Linked DNA regions of Cricetulus griseus. The protein of the gene in region 1 interacts with the protein of each later gene in a pairwise test. Links are inferred from orthologs where the notes say so. Each region holds a gene or a part of one and is shown in the gene's direction. Other genes may lie near its edges. The genes, in order: Ube2u and Rnf144b.

Region 1 (3,833 bases):
CAAAGAATGGCCTGTGCACAGTGAAGGAATTTAAGAAAATCACAGGGAAGCAGCTGGTGAGATGACTCAGCAGGTAAGAGCATTTGCTGCCAAGCCTAAAGACACAAGTTCAAATCCCAGAACCCATGTAGTAGAAGGCAAGAACTAACTTTGGCATGTTGTTCTGTAACCTACATGCACATGCACAGACACACACACACACACACACACACACACACACACACACACACTATATATTTAAAGAAGAAATTTATATTGAAGGAAAAAACAAGAAAATAATGGATAAGTTTAATCATAGAAAAACCTCCAGTGTTCGATCAGGCTAGAGCTAACCATAACACTTTAATGGCATTATTCATTTTTATATTACAGGGTTTGTCTTCCACCTGACAATAGATTTTACACCAGAGTACAACCTTGTTCCTCCAGTTGTGAAATTTCTAACAATTCCTTTTCATCCAAATGGTAAGGACTAAGTGAGACTCTCTTATTATTGTGTTATTGTGGCTTTGTCTATGCAATCTTTTGGGAGGGTGTTTAATAACCATGTTCCCCTTTAACAACTTACAATTAAAGTAAGAATACTCATTGGAAAAACTTTAAAAAGCAGAAAAAAATAACAATCCCTTTGAATCCTATAGTGAAATCATTTTCAATATTTTACCACATAGATCCTCATTTTTCTGTGTGCAAATTTTTCCACAGTTGAGATGTGATATACAGTTTTATCTAGCTTTACTTTAAATGCATTTTTAAACTTCCTAGCTTTAATTATGTATGTATGTGAAGGGGTGGTGGGTGTGCACATGAGTGTGGTGCCCATAGAGGTCAGAAGAGAGTTTTGGATCCTCCGGGGCTGGTGTTACAGGTCATTATGCACCACCCAGTGTGAGTGCTACGAACCAAGCTCAGCAGTGCTCTTGACAGAGAAGCTATCTCCCCAGCCCCGTCCTGCATTTCTATACATTCTGTAAAAGACCATGTTAAATGGCTGGATAGTACACATATCCACACATCATGTATTATTTAAGTTGAATCTAATTTTTCATCTTATAAAACAATATACGAGACAACTTAATCTTTGGGGAAAAGTATGTCAGATTGCTCTGCTGAGTTCTGTGCAAAGTGGTTGCCTGAAGCATGGCATTTTCTTTAATTGCATTCTAAAACAGTAGACAAGGTAATGCAACTGTTTGTGGGCTTCTATAGGAGCCCCTGAAACTACTGAAAACTATGATGTCTAAACTATAAGCTTTTAAAAACCTTTGTAGCTGTGCACATTATAAACAAACTAAGAAAATAATAAAACTGCATTATGCAAACTCAGGGACCACTCATGGTACAGGATAGAATATCTACACCACATAAAGAACCCTGTGACAAGGGGATGGGCCTAGGCCCTGTCCCAAAGGATATGACAGACTCTGTAGAGCCCCTATGGAAGGCCTCCACCCTCCCTGGGGAGCAGAAAGGGTATGTGATATAGGTAGGGTTTTAGTGGGGGGGGGGGGCATGGCAAGAGAAGAGGGAAGGGAGAGGGAACCGGGATTGACATGAAAAACAATCTTGTTTCTAATTCAAATAAAAAAAATAGGAAAAAAAAAAAAGAACCCTTGTGAACTACCAGAAAACAGTGTGAAATCCATGAACAAACACTGGATAGACAGAACACAACACCACAATCTCATTATGAAGAAAATAGATGCATATCAAAACATAAGATATTGTGATTCATCACTTCTGTTTACAAAATTTTAAAAGACATCAAAACTCATTTTTAGTGAGCTTGAGCAGACATCAATCCTTGACATAATGGTGACCTTTTAGGGAAGTGATTTGAAAATTTCTAATCAGCTATATCACACACACACACACACACACACACACACACACACACACACACACATATATATATATATATATATATATATATATATATATATATATTCCAGGCTTATATATTATTCTGTAGACATAGTAGCACAAGAGTATGTTATATTGAAGGATGCCCATTCCCAGTACACTTAGCCCATGGCCTTGCTGCAGCCTCTCCCATATACTTCAAATCATCACTGGGTTACTTAACAATGAAAATGCTATGTGCATGGTTGATTACTACATTGTCTCAGAAATATTGACAAGAAAAATGTTTGTACAAGTTCAATATGAATGCTGTTTTTTTTTCTGAATATTTCTGAACCTCACTTGAACCCATGAATTTCAAACCTATGCATACAAACAATATCTGCTGACAAAGGAATTTTTTTACACAGGAAGTTTTTAAGTAAAATTTTCTATATAATATATTTTTCCCCTGTATAGAAAAAGGAAGACTCATGAAAACTAGATTTTCTTTGTCACTGCAAGTGTCCCTAGAATCGTTATTGCTTGGCACATAGTAGGTGCTTACCTATCTTTTTAATAAACTATCTGGACCAGCAAAGTGATCCAGCAGGGAAGGGCACTAGTTGAGCAGCCTGACAATCCCCAACTCCCACACGTCCTGTGACCTCTCGGAATATACTGGAGTACAGGTGTCTGTGCACATGCGTACACACACAGAGACAGATGAATTTAAGTCAGTTTTAATAAATAAATACAACTAGAAATATGCTGCACATTTATTTTAAATGAAAAAAAAAAACCTTGAAAACACAATGTAAAAGTGTCCTTTCATGTGATAAAGAGATGAGCACTTACAGGTATACAGAGGGAAGTTTGTAGATCAATGTGACTTAAGAACAGAATTGCTAGGCAGGGGACATTCATGTTTTACTTTATATTTTCTTATATACTTTTCCCCTCCAATGTCCACTATTATTTTGTGAGTAAATTAGTTTTGAAGCTGGACAGATGGCTTGTGCAAGCATAAGGACCTGATTTCAAATCCTATGCACCCATATAAAACCACAGCCACAGCCACCCACACCTAGAACACCAGCACTGTGAGGGGAGAGGGGATCTCCAAGCGAGAGGATTTCGAGGGCTTGCTAACCACCAGTGTCAATGAGAGACCCTTTCTCAAAGAAGTACGATAGAGACAAACAGAGCAGGGTACCTGGCCTCCTCCTCGGGCTTCTGGGAATTCACAGGCATGCACATTCCCAGTACACTTAGCCCATGGCCTTGCTGAAGCCTCTCCCATATACTTCAAATCATCACACATGCACATGTAAATCACACACATACACACTCACAAGCCTCAAAAAAATACTATATTTGAAATTCATATTATCGAATTGCTGCAACCGGAGCCTATAATCAACTAAAGCTGGCGGGCACTGGAGATCCACGCAGTGATTATCATTATATGAAATAGGAAAAAAGGAAGAGTAGATGAAATAATTTTCTTGATGTGTCACTATGATGCTTTATAAGTTTCGAATGCTAAAAATTAATACATTGTTTTAATACAGTAGACCCATATACCGGTCAGCCCAGTATAGACTTTTTGGACAGCCGTGACAACTGGAACACAAATTATACAATAAGCAGCATCTTACTTGCTCTACAGGTAAGAATACAGTTATCTTAATGCTCTCTCTCTCTCTCTCTGAGATTCTATTTAAGATGGGCCTCACAATGTAGCCCCAGCCTGGCCTTGAACTCCTGATTATTCTGCCTCCACCTTCTGAGTGCTGGGATGGCAGGCATGCACCACCATGCCTAACTTAATGGTTTAACACATTTAATGCTCCTACTTATTCATCACACAAGGTTTAACATGTACACAGTGTATTCAGATGCTTTAGGATCTGAGCAAGCTGGTGTCAATCAAAATGTCTTCATCTGGAACTGAAGAGTGGATCTTTAGCTGCAGACTTACTTTGAAA
Region 2 (3,833 bases), on another chromosome or scaffold:
TCATGAGAAGAGAATTCAGAGTTCATCTGATGTGTGAGTCATTCAGTGATGTGTATTGGGGCATTGCATTTTTCTAGGATCCTTCAGAACACAAGATAGATGAGGAAATACAAGTAGATAAGGAAATACACCATGGAAAGAGACCCATAGAGGTAGGGAATTGGTCTTAGCTGAGAAGGCCTTTCTGACAAGGTACAGATGGAAGCTCTGAGTGAAACAAGCAGTATAGTAAAGGACACACAAAACCAGAAATTTATCATCCATTAATTGGTCTATCAATCATCTATATATCCCCTATCTACCTATCATCCATCAATCAGTCTATCAGTCAATTATATATTGACTGTCTACCTATCATTCATGTATTATCTATCTGTCTATCTATCATCTGCCTATCATCTATAATCCATTAATCATCTATCAACAATCGATCACCTATCAATTATCCATCTATCATCTATCAATTATCTGTCATCTATCCAGCTATTTTCTGCCTATCTGTCTATGCCCGTAGCTTGTTCTTAGATGGGTACATTACAAGCTTTTTCGCCATGTCTCTAAGACTGTTGAGAACATCTTATGAAGAACGCCATGTCCTTTGACATAGGGTGAACAACAACCTTGAAAAAAACCCTTCCTTGAAAAATTCCATTGACATAACTCATAGACTGAGTTGGAAGGAACAATACGAATCACCTGGCTTGCCATGTGTTTGGTGGTTGAATGCTTGACTACATCGAATTGAAATCCTTGTGGGCTGTAGAGTGAGTGAGGTGAGGAGTCTTGGTTTTATTTATGACCTTTAAGGTCTTCAAGTATTTATCTATGCTCCTTCAAGCCATTTAAATGAAAGGTAACGACACAAAAAGACCAATTCTCCCTTTTATTAGTCATCTGGGCTTTTGAAATGTTTTTGAAACATCACCTTAGACTTTGTCAGTCATATAGAAAACTGCAAGATCTGTACACTGCTCAAGTTTAATGACATGCAATTGTTAAACGTAGCAAATGGTGGTAGTTTTGTGTGTTTCTCTTTCTGTGTAAGCTAGGTGCCAGGTTTTTTTTTTCTCCAGAATTGTTAGTTTTTTACCAGAGTTTGACTTGTTTAGTTCTTGTAAAATATTTTTGATTCTTTTGTGCTTCTTTAGCCAGCTGAAGGGATGAGGAGAAGGTTTGAGATGGTATTTTTCAGTGAAAGCTAATGGAAACCATGAACACAGGCACTTGAAAAATGTGATACGGAGCAGTGGCTGGGACTAACTGTTCTTCCTCTACTTTGGGTAAAGTGCATGGCCACACTGATGGCCTGTCATGTGCCTGAGCTCCCAGCTGCTTAACCACCTACACTAATGCTTCAGCATCTCAAACAAAAAAGTGTCTCAGAATAAAAAGAATGCACTCAACACCTGTGGTCCAACTGTGCATACAGCTCCAACCTTGCTCCAAAAATTGCAGCACACTGTATTTTTTGGAGACATGGGAATGCTTGTGTGGAAATCTTCTAAATTCATTAGTTGACATATTATGGTTTGCAAAACACCTATGGACCTGGCATTAGCAAATGGAACATCTACTATAAGCCAGTGGGGAACCTTGATGGTTCAACTGTACAAATTTGCAATGTAAGTTTAAGTAATCATTTTTGCCTATTAAACTTGAGTGATAGCTCTCTAGTTACTATGCAACATTAAGCTTTCTCTGTACCCCAAAGAGTCCTGAGGAGAAGCTTGTCTACAGGCTGGTGGAATGTTCTGGCTCACACACCTTTTCTGTCTGGGCAGCGTCTCTGCTCCAGGTGGTTTAACCGGTTCCTTGGAGAGAGTCTGGAAAGGAGATGTCAGAACTCCAAAGGGTGGACTGGTCTAAGATGAAGCAATTCAGAAACTTACAAAGGCCTCGTTTTAGGGGTGTGTGTGTGTGTCTGTCTCTCTCTGTGTGTGCACACATGAAACCCTGTAACTAAACAGACATTATCTTCCCTAGTTTACAAATGATGAGGACATGCATCTGGGTCCTAGGTAGAGTCATTTGCCACTGTCAGCAGGTGTACACCTCAGCTGCTATGCTCTGAAGTTTGTCACACAGTATCACTTTGTTTTTCTCATATACTTTCCCCTTGAGCCTGGGCAGCACATATTTTTAGAGCCTGTTTTCCTCAGTTTCTGTGAGTGGCTGCTGGCAGGAGAGGGTAAAGGCAGTAGTATTGGAACCGTGTGGCTGAAGGGAGACAGGGGAATCTCTAGAAGCAGAGTGGTAGGCAGCCCTTTGCAAGGTCCCCTGGGATGGCAGCCTTTGTGTGACAGTGTATGGTTTGTCATTTCAGTTAGAAAAATACACGATTTTAAATGAAATATAACAGTGCTGCTTGGGTTCCGTCTTCACATGAAGAAAACTAATTTTAAGAGGTCAGGAAAAGTCATAGATTTCACGATTCTGTGCTAGATTCTGACCACAGACTCTGATTTAATGGTTTATGTAATGATGCACAGCACTGATTCTTTGTTTTTTTGTCTTTTGTAAGACAGAGTTTCTCTGTGTAACAGTTCTGGCTGTCCTGGAACTCATTCTTTAATTTTCCTGTCCCAAGCTCTTCAAGAGGACCTGGTGGGACATGCAGTTTGGAAGGCTGAGGCAGGTGGACGGAAAGTTCTAGTTCTTCCTGGGCTACATAGTGAAACCCTATGTCCAAAAACAAAACAAACAAAAGAAAGCAAAACACAATAACAAAACACATCAAAACCCTTGTCAACATGGTGGCATCCAGTAAGGCTTCTGTTTTTGGGATGGCCTGTTCTTTCAAGTTGTCTTTGCTATCCGAAGCCAGCAGGAAGCCACCTGACTTTTTCCTGTATAACTCAGTCCTTATCAGTATTTTGATTCTGTTTGGGTATCTTAGGTCCGGGATCCCAGAGTGAGGGTCATTCTACTTTCAGGTAAACTTACAAGAGAGGTTCACTAGATTAAAAACAGAATTGGGGGTGCTAGGGAAATGGGGGGATGGTTAAGAGGATTGCAGAGGATTGGGGTCAGTTCTGAGCACCCTCGTGGTGGTTCATTAACCATCCATATTTCCAGCTCTGGAGGATCTGATGCCCCCTTCTGACCTCTGTGTCACATACACACACACACACACACACACACACACACACACACACACACACATGAAAAACATTCATACACATAAAATAAAATAATACATACAAAATTAAAACAAACAAACAAACAAACAAACTAGAATTGGGAAATCAAATCGGGTTTGAAAAGAAACTAAGCATGGAGGCTTTTGCTGTGGATTCGAAAGTGCTTCTTCTTTTCCCAGTCTAAGGCAGACAAACTGAGTGAGCACGTGGGAGTCTGACTTGAAAAAACGCTTAAAATGAAGTCATCTGTGATTAATCTTCTGGCTCTGCATTCTTTCCAAAGTGATGGCTCTTTAGTACCCACACTTGTGATAACTTATGTTTCCTGAGTACAGGAACCCCAGGACAGCCAATTTAGGAAGACGCTGTGGATGCTCTCTTATGTAACCTTTGCGCTACTGTAGTGGATGTGATGTTTAAAATATCTGCTTCTTTCCCCCTTCTTATAGTGCCTGCGACAGTATATGATGCTGTCAATCCGAGAAGGATGTGGGTCTCCCATCACTTGTCCTGACATGGTGTGCATAAAACACGGGACCCTGCAAGAAACAGAGGTATGGATGCATGCTGTCGCCTTCCCTTCTGCCCTGCTGAATTATGTCTTAGCATCTGGACTCTTAAGTATTGCATACTAGGGAGTTAGTGACAAAATACAGAGGCTAACTTTTTAAAGGAGTGTTTTATTGCCACACA

What was found.
Region 2: the proteins of Ube2u (region 1) and Rnf144b interact in a two-hybrid assay, tested with the Homo sapiens proteins (2 studies listed by BioGRID and IntAct). The link is inferred for Cricetulus griseus from reciprocal best matches to the Homo sapiens genes UBE2U and RNF144B.

The regions. Positions count from the first base shown.
Region 1 is NC_048595.1:49,096,898-49,100,730, reverse strand, and holds part of Ube2u (ubiquitin-conjugating enzyme E2 U), read left to right. Parts: intron 1-372; coding exon 373-465; intron 466-3,416; coding exon 3,417-3,514; intron 3,515-3,833. UniProt on the Homo sapiens protein: Catalyzes the covalent attachment of ubiquitin to other proteins.
Region 2 is NC_048596.1:266,950,034-266,953,866, forward strand, and holds part of Rnf144b (E3 ubiquitin-protein ligase RNF144B), read left to right. Parts: intron 1-3,589; coding exon 3,590-3,694; intron 3,695-3,833.